2 linked regions of the Elephas maximus indicus genome follow. The protein of the gene in region 1 binds, or shares a complex with, the protein of each later gene. Links are inferred from orthologs where the notes say so. Each region holds a gene or a part of one and is shown on either strand. Other genes may lie near its edges.

Region 1 (7,670 bases):
GCTAGAGAGATCCATTCATTCCTTCATTAATCTATCAAATTATATGGATGATGCTATGGAGATGAATAAAACAAAGAACCCTCAAAGAACTCAGTCTAGTAGCAGGCACATATTTAAATAATCATAATGTGATTTAGTAAGAGAGAAGTGCATTAGATTTTCTAAAAATTTTTATTGTACTTTAAGTGAAAGTTTTCAGATCAAGTCAGTCTCTCAGACAAAAGTTTATATATACCTTGCTACATACTCCTAGTTGCTCTTCCTCTAATGAGACAGCACACTTCTCTCCACTCTCTATTTTCATGTCCAGCTTCTGATTCCCTCTGCACCCTCATCTTCTCTCCGGACAGGAGATGCACACATAGTCTCATGAGACTTGATCCAAGAAGCTCACTCTTCACCAGTATCATTTTCTATCCTGTAGTCCAGTCCAAACCCTGTCTGAAGAGTTGGTTTGGGGAATGGTTCCTATCTTGGGCTAACAGAAGTTCTGGGACCATGACCTCCAGGGTCCTTCTTGTCTCAGTCAGACCATTAAGTCTGGCCTTTTTAGGAGAACTTGAGGTCTGCATCCCACTGCACTCCTGCTCCCTCAGGTGTTCTCTGTTGTGTTCCTTGTCATGGCAGTCATCGGTTGTAGCCGGGCACCATCTAGTTCTTCTGGTCTCAGACTGATGCAGACTCTGGTTTATATGGCCCTTTCTATCTCTTGGGCTCATAATTACCTTGTGTCTTTGGTGTTCCTCATTCTCCTTTGCTCCAGGTGGGTTGAGACCAATCGACGCATCTTAGATGGCCGCTTGCTAGCATTTAAGACCCCAGATGCCACTCTTCAAAGTGGGATGCAGAATGTTTTCTTAATAGATTTTATTATGCCGATTAACCTAGATGTTCCCTGAAACCACGGTCCCCAAACCCACGCCCCTGCAACACCAGCCTTTGTTCAGTTTATCCAGGAAACTTCGTTACTTTTGGTTTAGTCCAGTTGTGCTGACCTCTCCTGTATTGTGTGTTGTCTTCCCCTTCACCTAAAACAGTTCTTGTCTACTATCTAATTAGTGAATACCCCCTCCCTCTCTCCCTCCCCGCTCTCCTAACCATCAAGGAATATTTTCTTCTCCGTTTAAACTATTTTTCGAGGTCTTATAATAGTGGTCTCATACAATCTGTCTTTTTGCAACTGATTAATTTTACTCAGCATAAATCCTTCCAGATTCCTCCATGTTATGAAATGTTTCACGGATTCATCATTGTTCTTTATCAATGCATAGTATTCCATTGTGTGAATACACCATTATTTATTCATTCATCTGTTGATGGGCACCTTGGCTGCTTCTATCTTTTTGCTAGTGTAAACAGTGCTGCAATGAACATGGGTGTGTATGTATCTGTTCCTGTAAAGGCTCTTATTTCTCTAGGATATATTCCAAGGAATGGGATTGCTGGATCATATGGTAGTTCTATTTCTAGTTTTTTAAGGAAGTGCCAAATCGATTTCCAAAGTGGTTATACCATTTTACAATCCCACCAGCAGTGTACAAGTGTTCCAGTCTCTTCACAACGTTTCCAACATTTATTTTGTTTTTCGGATTAATGCCAGCATTTTTGGAATGAGATGGAATCTCATTGTAGTTTTGATTTGAAAGTGCATTAGATTGTATGGGAATGTTTAAAAAAGGGCATTAAACCCAACTTAAGGTGAGTAGGGAATAGGAGCAAATATCACAAAAGCCTTCCTGGAGGAAGTTACATGTGAATTGGTTTTTAAAGAACCAGAAGGAGCTTTACTGGCTAAGGAAGGAAAGAAGGATGGGTGGATGGGAGTGTTGGGACAGGGGTGGGGTGAGTGGGTGGTGATATTCCAGGGAAAGGGACAGCATTAGCCAAGGTATGGGGGGGATATGCAATCAAGACTGGCCCATTGGACTTCTGTGTGGAAATGACAAGCAGGCAGTTAGAAGCATGTCTGGAGCTCTGGGATGAGCACAGGGTTAGGGATCTAGATTGAGCAGTCAATGAAATACACCTGTTAATAAATAAATAAATAAAAACCTCATTCCTGTGAAGTCAATTTCGACCACAGCAACCTTATAGGACAGAGGAGAACTGCCCCATAGAGTTTCCAAGGAGTGCCTGACGGATTTGAACTGCCAACCTTTCGTTTAGCGGCCTTAGCACTTAACCACTACACCACCACGGTTTCCAATGAAATATACATGGTATTTAAATCTGTAAGACTAAATGAGGTTGCTCCAAAAGAGTATGTAGTTAGAGTGTACAGACAGAGGCCAAGAAGACAGATCATCCTAATATTTAGAGGGTGGTTTGGGAGGAAGAGCCAACAAAGGAAACTGAAAGGGGTGGCTAGAAAGGTTGGGAGAAACCCAGTAAAGTGTCAAGAGAAAGAGTCTAAAGAAGACAGGAGTGACTACAGTTCAGATACTGTTTGAAAGTAGAGAATGATAGAAACAGAGAAGTGACTATTGGATTCAGTAACTCAAAGATCATTAATGACCTTGGCGGAAGCCCTCTCCGTGAAGTGTTGGGGACAGCAGCCCTAGTGCAGAGGATGGAAAAGTGAATGTAAGATAAGAAAGGGGAGAATGACAAGGAACCCTTGTCCTTTGGCTATGGGTACTCTGGCGGCTCTTCCTAAAAGCCATTCACAAGAGAGGAAGGCAGTTTGTGGTCCCCAGCAGGGACTGCTCAGGGCCAACAATTTCCAGGTCACCTTTATTAGGGTGCCAGGGTACACACTGGCCCTTATTAGACCTATCTCAGCATGTCCCATAGGTGTGTAGCACCCTCGAGGCTCTATACAGTGTTCTCAGAAGAGTGCCCAGCATGGTTGGTGCTATCTGAATTTTTGTTATAATTATTCTAGTTTCCAGGCAAGCTTTATTGACTTCTAAGAACAACTCATTTATGTAGACCGAATCATTTTAAGAATGTGTGAAGATAGCCAAACCGCAGCATAAAAAAGAACAGTGACTTGTCCATGGGGGTGCCAGCCTCCCAGTTTAATAGTCTATTCCCAGTGGTTTGCTCCGAGAGCTCTGATTAAGATGGAAGGCTCTCCCTGGAGGAGCCTCGGATTGAACAAACAAGGGTAGAGAAAGCGAAAAGGAAAACTAACGGTAGAGGCATATCCAGAGAAATACACGTATGAAATCATCCAAAATAGAAGTAAATACAGCACAGTTTCTCACCTGTTTGTACAGTTCGTTTGTTGGTAAATTGAGAAGTACTAATGTAGAAATGGAGGAATATACTACTACAATGGCGAAGCTGTACCATCTGGAGGAATTTTGAGAACTTGTTTCAAAAATGGATTGTTTTAGAAATCAAGAATAAGGTAGAAAGTGAAGAAGATGCGGGGTGTAAGTATCTTAAAATTTCTCCTCTTTTTGGTCTCTGAATGCCGTATCACTTCACTCAGACTTAACGTGAAATTCTTGATGTTTTTGTAGGTGTTTTTGACACATTGTATGCGGATACCTATCCACAGGGTTATTGCGGCGATTAAGATCCCGAAAGTGCACAGTACTATACAGTAACTGATCACGAGGGCATGTTTCACCACAGTGCACAGGCCCTATTGGCTGATGACCGGGTTTTACTATTTTGCTTCTACTTCTTAACTCTGTTGAAGATTTTTTCAATACAAATCTAATAATAATGGCAGCTATCATTTATTGTTTACTCATATTAAGTAATTTAATCTTCAAAACAATCTTGTACGGTAAAATTACCCTCCTCTGATGCTCAGAGTCAGTATCTGGGACCCAGACAGCCCGGCTTCAGGGCCCAGCTTTTAACCACTAATTCTACTTCTTTTAGCTGTGCAAACCTGGATCACTTTTTCCGCCATATTCTGGTAACAGCAAACTCCGTTTTCTCTTTAGAAATCACTCTTACTGCTTTCAGTCGCCAAAGACTCTCGCCTGAGTTCCCGAGACCCATACGAAGATAATTTAATGCACCCAGATTGAACCAGCCCAGTTATCTTTCTCAGATCCGTGAATTTTCACCTCGGTTGAGCGGTGACTTGCACCACCGTCCCTTTATTTCGTTGGTCTCAGGGCTAAACCACTCTCTTTCTCAAATAGCAGCACGGGTAGTCTCTAAAAAGAATACCCATAGAACCCCATGCACCCCCGCGAGCGACCACGTTAGTGGGACCGCTGAGCCTGCTCCCGAGTCCGGGCCCTGACGCGCGTTTCACTGATTCCTTCTCGAAAGTCGCGTATGTTTGGGAAACTGTGGAGTGCTGATGGGCCGCGGATCCAAGAGCCAACGCCAAACGCGCCGGGGCGGGGACTGGCAGGAGCGGGCTCCGGAGCACCGCAGTAAAACGAGACGCGCAGCGAGCGTGCCAGGGCGCCAGGCAGGCGAGGCCGGAGCGGACGCAGCGGGCTGCGCAGGACCCGGGCGCCTAGCTGGAGGGGAAGGGGTGAGGGCTCGGAAGGAAGCGGGCGTGGCCAGGAGCTAGCCGGGCCGCTCCCCGCCCCCTCCCTTCTCCTACTCCCTCCTCTCCGATCCTCTCCCCGCCCCGCCCCGCCCCGCCCCTCCGGCTGAGCCAGGAGACTCCGCCCCTCTAGTGACATCACTGGCCAGGCCAGCCGGCGCCATTTTGAAAGTGGAGTCGCCTGTCCCTGCCGCTACCGCTGCCGCCGCCGCCGTATCTGCAGCCGTAGCTGTTGGAGAAAAAGCAAACGCGGGGAAGCCCCAGAGTGAAATCCACCATCCTGCAGGCTGATCTGCTCGCCCCTCCTTCCTTCTTTCCCGACCCCCACCCCCTCCCCCACAGGTGCCATCCGCCGCCATCCTCCCTCTCTACCCCCCTATCCCCAGGTGAGGGGGGTGAGTTCAGGAAGCAGAGACCCCGAGGAACCCAGCAGGCTCACCATTTGCAGCGCAACATGGCAGGTAAAGGAAAAAAATCACCCTCGTCCACTGACAAGGCACCGCTTCCTTCTCCCTCCATCACCCCCTAGCGACCGTCTCTGCTTCGCATAGAACCACGGGGCGCCCCTCGGATTTCAGGGAATTGGTCGGGTGACGGTGGGGGTGGGGGTGGGGTGGGTTCTGGTGAGGCGAGTGGTCGCTGTGATATTAAAATGTCTTTTAAAATAAGGGCTGGAACCTTTGCGTGGGTGGGGGTGGGGTGTGTGTCGGCAAGCCGTGGGGTAAGGCGTGGGTGGGGCGGGGTGGGGGCGAATGCAGATTTGTCTTCACCGCTTTGGAGGCTGGTGTATTTTTTTTTCCTCCCGGCTTTTTTGCGGATCTTACATCATTTAAATTCCTATTTTTTCTGTTGCTGCAAGCCTTTTTGAGTATATATACAAATATATTTTGCACAGGGACGGAAGAGTGCTTTTCAAGTTAAAATACAGTAGACCTGTGTATTTTTTGTTGTGGATACGTTGATTTTTGAGACTAGTAGTTTGAATTTTTGGTTTTAAACCATCTCACTTTAGTGTCTTACCCGTTACGGCCAAAAAGTGCAAGGCCTTTAATACAGCAAGTTGCATGAAAAATGTAATTTAAACTTTCCGTTTTGCATGTTAGCTCCTGTGCAGATGTTCTTTTCCCAAAAGGGTTTCACAGAGTTTGCTAAAATAGTTGTGGAGTTCAGTGACATAAATAGCAAAGCAGAGAGATTTAGGTAAAAACTTGGGGAGAAAAAGGAGGATGTATAGGAAAAACCAGGTTGGAATATTTAGCAAGGAATGGGAGTGAAGGAAGAGAGGGAATTGCTTTGAGGATTATTTCTGTACATTTATTGTGTTGCTGGATGTCCATCTAGCAGAATCACTTATAGATATGGATTGAGTTTCTTCTTCCATAGATTCAGGTAATTTTCATGATTTCCTCCTCAGTACTTCGACGTGAAATAGAAACAGGGACTAATTCCGTATTTCCATGTTTTTTCCAATACCTAGATAATTAAACCGTTTAAGATAGACATTGGATTGACTCAAATAGTTTGCTATAAACAAGTTGCTCTTTGGCTTGTTGAATACTAAAGTGAAATTAAAATTGTTTTGCGCACTATGATGACAAATTATCAAAATAAATCCTTTGCATGGTCTTTTGGATTCAGAGGGATAAGGTGAAGGGAGGCAAAACAAGCTTCTTTTGAAACTTCTTCAATGGCCTTCATTTCAGTTTCTTTTCCTCCCTGTCTGGAGCCAATGATTTGCTGGTAATGAAATGCGAAGAAATGGGTGGTGTGTGTTTGTTGTGTGTGCTTTGGTGATCGGGTTCATATGAATCATTACTTCTCACTCAGGCAGTAATGTTCCTGAAGTTTTCTCTTCGTTCTATGTTTTATGGTAGTTTAACCTTATTAAAGTCTTCTGCAGGCTTTTTGTATACTTTAAGTAAAACTCTCTAACTTTTGGTATTTACTTTTTTCTGGTAGGTCTTGCTTGAATGTAAGGCTCTTACCATGTCTTAGGGGAAGCGAAAATGGAAGGGAAATTTTGAACAGATGTACAATTTAATGATTGCGTATGCCTTTAAATATTTCATACCTGGAAGATCTGTTTTTTTCTTTTATTAAAGCAGTACCAGCTATTGGGGACTAACCTTTTTCCAAATTAGTGCTATAGGGTGGTGATTATATGTGTGGGCAGTACTAAGCTATTAGTATCGTGCCAACTGCGGATACCATCTCTCTGTTTACGAGAGTAAATGTGAACAGAACTCAATTTAATTGATATGTTTTTTGCGTGTGCGTGTTTTTTCCAGGAGCTGGAGGAGGGAATGATATTCAGTGGTGTTTTTCTCAGGTGAAAGGAGCCGTAGATGATGATGTAGCAGAAGGTAAGAAAGTGTTTAATAATGTGAAACTTGAATATAGAATGTTTTCAAAATCTTGATTATTGAAAGGTTTTCTTGGAGCTAAGCCTGTAATAATTTAAGAACATTTTGTATTGTTTAAGAAATGTAAGAATGGGCCTTGAGATAATATTTGAACCTTAATCAAAAATATCCCCTGAAGTCTTCTTAAAACTGAACAGTAGTTCAGTTTAACTAGTAAAAAAGTTTAGCTTAACTAGTAAAAAAGCCGAACCTTAGGCATTATGCTCAATTTAAGAACTATCTAAATGGGAATTGAATCAACAACAGCAACTTGAAAGATTACATGTGAACCTTACAGGGCAGTGAATTTGTGTTAATGGGGGAAGAATAATTCAGAATAAAGGTGAAAATGGTTGTACAACGCAGAATGTAATCAGTGTCACTAAATGGTACATATGGGAACAGTTGACTTGGTGTATGTTTTGCTGGGTATATTCTCAACAACAAAAAAATAAAACAATTTATTTAAAAAAAAGAAAGAAATTAAAGAATGGGTTTAAAAGTCACCTTTATGGAACATAGTTTTAACTCTTGACCAGACCTCTGTTTTTTTTTTGGTGCCTCGTTATTTTTTTTTTTCCCTGAATTAAAGGAAAGGAACAGTAGGTGATGATGTATATGAAACCACAAGAAAAATGTAAGGTCCGCACGATAAAGGTTTCCTTGCTGTATAAATTCCGCATACAGTTTAACGGGGCATTCCCCTTTGTATATTGTTCTAGGTAATTAAGTTAAAATAGGTGCCGTCAACAGCTCACAAACATTCTTGACAGCATCTTCTATTTTTGTGGAAAGATTTT
Region 2 (7,923 bases), on another chromosome or scaffold:
CTTCCCCTGGTCTAGTAGCTTCTCAGCCCAGGGTCTCTGAATCCAAAGGACATGCTCTGCCCCTGGCTCTCATTTCTTGGTGGTATGAGGTCCCTATCCTCTCTGCTCACTTCTCTCTTTTTTATCTCAAAAGGGATTGACTCAAGATACAACCTAATCCTGTAGATTGAGTCCTGGCTCATTAACATAACTGCCTCTAACCCTACCTCATTAACATCATAGAGGTTAGGTGCGGTGTAATTAATTACTTTTGTGTGTGGCCTTTCTAGCTGCAGTCTTGTAACTCCCACCCAGGTGATTGGGCAGGGCTCTGTGATAGGGTACTTGTGACCCACCAAAGGGATTGGTCAGTTTTGCCTAAAAAAAGAGCCAGTTCCAGAGCAGAGAGGAGAATCCCACCACTGCCAGGGAAGAATGGTCAGGAGCTGGCATGTCCTCTGGACCTGGGATCCCTGTGCTGGGAGGCTCCTGGGACCAGGGAACAGACATAGAGAGAGCTGTAACCCTAAAGATGGTGAGAAGTAGTGTCAGGAGAGACCCGGCAGCAGGAGGTGGCTCGATGGGCTTCGTGGCCCACGAAGAAAGAAAGCTGCGTGCCTTTGGGCAGAGGCCTAGGGCCAGGGTGAGCATGGCTGGGTAGAGGCTGTCCTGATGAAGGAACTGTATCCTTGAGTGTTCCTGAGCCTAAACTGTAAACTGTTACTTCCCTAATAAGCCCCATAATTGTAAGCATGGCCTGTGAGTTTGGTGTGGCCACTGCAATGAATTATCAAATCCGGCAGAGAAGTAGAAAGTGCCATGGGAGGGACAGTTTGTGTCAGAATTGGTAAAGATGGCGGAGAGAGGAGGTGTGTCCGACCTCTGCCTCATAGGAATCAGCCTTGGGCTATTGGTCTTGGTTCTGCTTCCCCCTTGTGGGGTTGGAGGAAGTCAGATACCACCCCCGCGCCATTTTTACGTTAGGATTTACAGCACATAGGATAATCACATCAGATCACAAAATGGTGGACAACCACACAATACTGGGAATCATGGCCTAGCCGAGTTGACAGACATTTTGGGGAACACAGTTCAATCCGTAACAAGCACTTAACCATTTGCACTTCCCAGGGGCTCCTTTGCATTTAGTAGGTTCTCAGTAGTTGTTTGTGGGCAATTATAGAATGGTTGATAACAGCTTCTAAGCTCATCCACGAGATAATCTCTTCTTCCACCGTGATAACAAAATGTGTCCCGTACTTAAACATAATCCCTGCTCTCCACGTATGTTCTCACAGCCCCTGCCGAGTTCCACTGACACTCCTTTGACTCTGTGCCATTTCATGAATTATGCTGGGAGGATACCGCTGTGAAGGCAACCGAGCCAACTTTGATTGAGCAGCCTACACAGAGAGTGCAGTTGAGAAAGTCACAGGCAGTAAAAAGGGCTTCATTTCCTTCTTGCTGGCTCTTTAGAAGTCACTCACTTCGAAGGCACTGTGGAAACGGGGGCAAGAAGAGCTGATGGTACCCTGGGTGATCGGCAACCAGCCTCACACATCTCCAGTGTTTATGTGAGGGTGCTGGGGCCTCATGGTATTTAGACCCCCAATGAGATGGAGCCTGAGTGTGTGTGTGTGTGTGTGGTTGGTGTGTGTTTCTCTCTCCTTTCTACTGTCAAGGCCAGCTAGCTGCTCTTCCACTGACCCTTTTCTGTCAGATTTAGGAGTTCAGCATCCCAGTTGAGAGTTAGGCTTATGGTTAGTGTTTGAACTTAAACTTACTTCCAATTGACATGCATTGCCAGGTCTTCACGTCTTATTCTGTTCTATAGTTCTCATTTAAGGGGCCCTGGTGGCGCAGTGGTTAAGAGCTCGGCTGCTAACCAAAAAGTCAGCAGTTTGAATCCTCCAGCTGTTCCTTGAAAACCCAATGGGACAGTTCTACTGTGTCCTATAGGGTCGCTGTGAGTCAGAATCAACTTGGCGGCAACAGGTTTGGTTTTGGTTTTGGTGGGGCAAGTTAAACGCTTGGCTGCTAACCGGAAGGTTAGTGGTTAGAACTAACCAGCGGCTCAGTGGGAGAAAAGATCCGGCCATTTGCTCCCATAAAGATTACAGCCTAGGAAACCCAATGAGACAGTTCTGCTTTGTCATATGGGGTCACTGTGAGTTGAAATAGACTCAATGGCCCCCAACAACACTTCCCCATTTACATTCCATGTACCCATGCTGTTTTTTCTATATTAAAAACATTTTTGAGTTCTAACTTATATACAGTATAGTATATAAATCTCAAGTATTCAGTTCAGTGAATTTTTACATTTGTGTAGACTGTACTAGCAGCACCCAGATCAGAATTTGGGTCATTTCCTTTTTACCCCTCCCTCACTGATAGTCAGTGATCCCAAGGGTGACCAACTGTTTGGACTTCTCTTTCCATAGATTGGTTTTGGCTCCTCTTGAACTTCATGAAAATGGAGTTGTAGAATATGTACTCCTTTGTGTTTGATTTCATTCATTTAATGTTATACTGTGATCCATCTATGTTGCTGAGTGTAGAATTCCATTGTATAATTTATTCACCATTCTCCTGGTTATGGGCATCCGGGTTTTCTCTAGTTTTTAGTTATTACTGATTATGCTACCAGGGATGTCCTCGTACATGTCTTTTGATGGACATAAGCACTCATTTCTGTTGGGTAGATACCGGGAGGAAACCCTGGAAGTGTAGTGGTTAAGTGCTACAGCTGCCAACTGAAAGGTCATCAGTTCAAATCCACCAGGCGCTCCTTGGAAACTATGGGGCAGTTCTACTCTGTCCTGTAGAGTCGCTATGAGTTGGAATTGACTCAACAGCAATGTGTGGGTTATATACCAGGAGTAGAATTGGTTAGTGATAGGGCATGCATATGTTTTCTTTTGGTGTTGTTGTAAGGTGCCCTCTAGTCATTTCCGACTCGTAGTGACCCTGTGTACAACAGAATGAAACACTGCCAGGTCCTCCAGCATCCTCACAGTCATTGTTATGCATAAGCCCATTGTTGCAGCCACTGTGTCAGCCTGTCTCATTGAGGGTGTTCCTCTTCTTCACTGACCCTCTACTTTACCAAGCATGATGTCCTTCTACATTTTCCCAAAGTAGCTGTACCAATTAACACTCCTTTAGTTCCTGTACTTTCAAAGTGCAATTTTCCTCTGTAACATTTTTATTCTAGGATGGCAGTGCTAGTTGATGTTGTATGTTGAAGTATCTGCCAGTCCATCGCAGATTACATACACACACACATTTGTATTTCACATTCATTCACTGTGTATCCGTAGGTGAATATTTGCCTTGTCTTACACTTGAGGGGAAACTCTGGTGGCATAGTGGTTAAGAGCTACTGCTGCTAACCAAAAAAAGGTCAGCAGTTCAAATCCACCAGGCACTCCTTGGAAACCCTATGGGGCAGTTCTACTCTGTCCTTTAGGGTCACAATGAGCTGGAATCGACTCAACGACAGTGGATTTGGTGGTTTTGGATTATGCTTGGGGAATGCTGAATATACCCTGGACTGCCAGGAGAACAAACAAATCTGTCTTGGAGGAAGTACAGCCAGGATATTCCTTAGAAGTGAGGATGGTGAGGCTTTGACTTGCTTACTTTGGACATGTTATCAGGCGGGATCAGTCCCTGGAGAAAGATACCATGCTTGGTAAAGTAGAGGGCCAGCGAAAAAAAGGAAGACCCTCAACCAAATGGATTGACATGGTGGCTGCAACAATGGGCTCAAACATACCCACTATTGTGATGACAGTGCAAGACCGGGTCATGTTTCATTCTTTTATATGTAGGGTCGCTGTGAGTCCAACCCAGCGCCACAGCACCTAACAACAACGTGCTTGGAGGTTCATAGTGAATAATTGCCCTTAGGAATTAAAAGGACATTGTCTGTAACTTTAAAAAAGCGAATATTAATCGGAATAAAGTTTGACTATTGAGTAGATGTCTGGTTTTGTGACTCAGGAGTGAGCATGAATGCCCAGTGTTTGCATGTGGTATGTAATTCATACTCGGACTGAAGCCGGAAGGCCGAATTGACTCAAGAAAGGTCCACTGGATCCGCCTTTGGCATCAGTCATTTGCAACAGGCTGAAATGCACATTATGGCTGCTATTTTCTCTCACTTATCTTTGATTTCTTTGAGAGGAAGCAGTAGCTCAATATATTAAACACTGATTAGCATCCTCTGTGCTGGGCATTTTAATTCTATCAAGTATATCTCAGCCTATGGCTGAAAAAGACTGGAAACCAGGGCCTCAGTTTCTTAGTTTATGTAACAGATGTAACCCACCTGCAGGGGCTGATGAACAGTATAATTAACAATTATGACCTCCATGTGAGAGAAAGAATCACCCAAGTAAGGCTGACTTAGAGCCAGCCTAGAGAAGCCTGGATCGCCTGGATATTCAAATAATAGTTCTCCCCTCTTTTGGATAAAGCTACATTTGTACTGCTGGTGCTGCTTATAAGGGAAGGTCAGGGATGCCTCTCAGCCAATGACATTGGAGCAGAGCCGTGAAGGGATTAAACCAAAAACCAAACCCGCTGCTGCCCAGTCAATTGCTACTCATAGTGACCCTATAGGACAGGGTAGAACTGCCCTGTAGGGTTTCCGAGGCTGTAAATCTTTACAGAAGCAGACTGCCACATCTTTCTTCCTCTGAGTGGCTGGTGGGTTTGAACCGCTGGCCTTTCAGTTAGCAGCCGAGTGCTTAACCACTGTACCACCTGGGCACCTCTGACTAGATTAAGCACCGTGGATACCTGGAAGAAGACTAACCAATGTGGAGGGGAGCATGCCTGGTGGGCAGAAGAGCAGTGAGGGGCCTCTTTGGCTGGAGGGGAGGGAGGCGGGGTCAGAGGAACAGCAAGAGCCCAACTTAGACAAGGCTCAGGAGGCCACCATCATGACCTCAGCTTTTTCCTAAGTGGGAATCCACAGCAGAAGCGTTTGCTCAGGGAAATGACATGAGTCAACTTTTTTTAAAGGATTGCTTTGAAGATTGGGTGGAGAGCTGATTGCAAAGACAGGGTGGAAACAGGGAAGCCAGTTAAGTTCTCTGATAGATGTACTCAAGCAAGAGCCAAGTGGCATAGATGTTTCATCACTGTGTTTTATTGGTAATAAAATTACAACCAGTAATTGTGTTCTTCGAGACTTAGACAATGTCTGGCACATCCCAGCCACCTTAGTAAGGTAATGATTAAAACCCCTTGCTCTCGAGTCAATTCCGACTCACAGTGACCCCATAGGGCAGAATAGAACTGCCCCATAGGGTTTCCAAGGAGCGGCTGGTGGATTCCAACTGCCGACTTTTTGGGTAGCAGCTGAGCTCTTAACTACTTCGCCACCAGGACTCTTTAGGTAATGATTTAGTAATCTGCAAATTAATATTATGGATATTAAGGAGCCCTGGTAGTGTAGCACAGTTCGACTCTGATACTCACGGGGTCACCATGAGTCAGAGTTGACCAGACAATAACTGGAGGGATTGTTTCAAGTGCCTGGCAGGTAGGAGGCACTTGGAAAACGTCGGTCCTTTTCCCTTTCTGTTCTTCCATGTCACTGCATCCTTGATCCACCTGCCGCATCCTGAAGCTCAGACCTCGTTATGCCATTCCTCTTGTCAAAAATCTACCTTGGCTCCCTATTGCCTCACAGACTAAATACAGGCACTTTTGCCTGGTGTTCAATGCTCCATTCCCTGACTCCGACTTCCATCTCCAACTTTTTCCCGTTACTTATTCTTCTCCATGTATTTGATGTGTTAGCCGATGTCATGGATTGAATTGTGTCCCCCAAAATATCTGTCAACTTGGCTAGGTCATGATTCCCAGTATTGCATGATTGCCCACCATTTTGTCATTTGATGTGATTTTCATATGTGTTTTAATCCTACCTCTACTCGATGGCAATGGGTTTTTTTTTATGATGTTAATGAGGTGGGATTAGTGGCAGTTATGTTAATGAGGCAGGACTCAAGATTAGGTTCTATCTTAAGCCAATCTCTTTTGAGGTATAAAAGAGAGAGGTGAGGAGAGAGACCTCGCCAAGAAAGAAGCACTGGGAGCATAGCGTGTCCTTTGGACTCGGGGTCCCTTTGCTGAGAAGCTCCTTGACCAGGGAAGATTAATGACAAAGACCTTCCCCCAGAACCAACAAAGAGAGAAAGACTTCCCCTGGAGCTGGAACCCTGAATGCAGACTTGTAGCCTCCTAGACTGTGAGAGAGTAAATTTCTCTTTGTTAAAGCCATCCACTTGTGGTATTTCTGTTATAGCAGCACTAGGTGACTAAGATGGCCAAATTCACTCCTTTGTATTTACTTCTGCTGCCACTTCTATATGAAATGCCATCTCTCACTTCAAAGCCTCTTTCAAGTGCCATTCACAAAGCTGTTAGTAATCTGCAAGGTCACCGTATTTGGAGTAGGCAGCATCGTGCCCAGAGAGCCCAAGTTCTCTGCCACTTTCTGGGAACGCTGCTTAACCTCTGTGTCTCAGCTTTCCTTGTAAAATGGGGGTAATGATAACACCTACCTCGTAGAGTTGTTGGGAGGATTAAATGAGATACTACTCACGAAGCACTTTGAATAGTAGTGCCTAGCACTTGGAAAGCTTAAATCAGTTTCTATAATTGTAGGCATGAATAACTGACATTATTTTACCATCAAAACCAAAGACCAAACCCATCGCTGTCGAGTCAATTCCAACTCATAGTGTCCCTATAGGACAGAGTAGAACCACCCCATAGGGTTTCTAAGGCTGGTGGATTCAAACTGCCGACCTTTTGGTTAGCAGCCAACCACTATGCCACCGGGGCTCCATTTTTTTTTTTTTTTTTTTTTACCATCAAGGGCATCAAATTAAAATTTGTTTGAGACACAGCAAAAAGAGATGTGGGCTAGGAACCAAGAGACCTGGACTCTAGTCCTGGTCCCCACTGCTAATCAGCCGTGTGATGGTGAATATGTCATTTTCCTCTCTGCATCTTATTTCCTTTAGCTGCAAAAACTGCTGGGGTTGGACAAAAGTCTCTAAGCTCTGTTTCAGTTCAAGGAGCCATATAGGTGTCTAAAAGCCACTCCAATGCAACACGACCAAACAGAAATCCTAATTTCCACTCCTAAGTGCTTGACTACTAGGCGAATGGTTGTCTGTTCCAACGCACCCAGAGATCCTTCAGGAGACACGCCTGGGGATCTGCTTCCGAAAGGTCACAGCTTCAAAAACCCTATGGAGCCGATCTACTCTGCACATATCCAGTCGCCATGAGTCAGAGTCAACTTGACGGCAACTGGGGGGGGGCCCAGGAAGAGGATTTTAGGACTGCACCCATATGCCATGAAGAGTTTTGTGGGCTTTACTTGATTTCCAGGAGTCCTTGGGTGCTGCAAATGGCTAAGTGCTCAACTACTAGCTAAAAAGGTTGGCAATTTGAACCCACCCAGAGGCTCTTTGGAAGACAGGTGTAGTGATCTGCTTCCGAAAGGTCACAGCCTTGAAAACCCTGGGGAGCACAGTTCTACTCTGCACACATTGGTGTGAGTCAGAATCAACTCAACAGAGCAAACAACAAATTGCTGCTTCCCTGGCTTTCCTCATCTCAGTAAATGGCACCACCGTATTCTCGGTTTAAGTAAACAATTTATGAGTTATTGTCTTAATCATCTAGTGTTGCTTTAACAGAAATACCACAAATGGATGGCTTTAATAAACAGAAGTTTATTCTCTCCCAGCTTAGCAGGCTAGAAGTCTGAATTCAGGGCGCTGGCTCTAGCAGAAGGCTTTTTCTTTCTGTTGGCTCTGGGGGAAGGTCCCTGTCATCAATCTTTCCCTGGTCTGGGAGCTTTTTAGCACAGGGACCCTGGATCCAAAGGATGCGCACGGATCCTGACTC

The links.
Region 2: the proteins of PPP2R2A (region 1) and PABIR1 are in contact, whole or in part, in a cryo-EM structure (PDB 8SO0), measured with the Homo sapiens proteins. The link is inferred for Elephas maximus indicus from reciprocal best matches to the Homo sapiens genes PPP2R2A and PABIR1. Residues at the interface, in NP_002708.1 of Homo sapiens: Phe84, Leu87, Lys88, Ser89, Leu90, Tyr178, His179, Asp197, Met222, Glu223, Leu225, Thr226, Glu227, Val228, Tyr337, Asp340, Phe343; in NP_612206.5 of Homo sapiens: His81, Ser82, Ser83, Arg84, Leu85, Ile88, Lys89, Glu92, Arg99, Glu100, His103.

Annotation. Positions count from the first base shown.
Region 1 is NC_064840.1:47,280,623-47,288,292, reverse strand, and holds the start of PPP2R2A (serine/threonine-protein phosphatase 2A 55 kDa regulatory subunit B alpha isoform), read left to right. Parts: upstream 1-4,613; 5' UTR 4,614-4,922; coding exon 4,923-4,929; intron 4,930-6,756; coding exon 6,757-6,831; intron 6,832-7,670. UniProt on the Homo sapiens protein: Substrate-recognition subunit of protein phosphatase 2A (PP2A) that plays a key role in cell cycle by controlling mitosis entry and exit. Involved in chromosome clustering during late mitosis by mediating dephosphorylation of MKI67.
Region 2 is NC_064827.1:10,662,411-10,670,333, forward strand, and holds the start of PABIR1 (PPP2R1A-PPP2R2A-interacting phosphatase regulator 1), read left to right. Parts: upstream 1-4,912; 5' UTR 4,913-7,923. UniProt on the Homo sapiens protein: Acts as an inhibitor of serine/threonine-protein phosphatase 2A (PP2A) activity. Inhibits PP2A activity by blocking the substrate binding site on PPP2R2A and the active site of PPP2CA.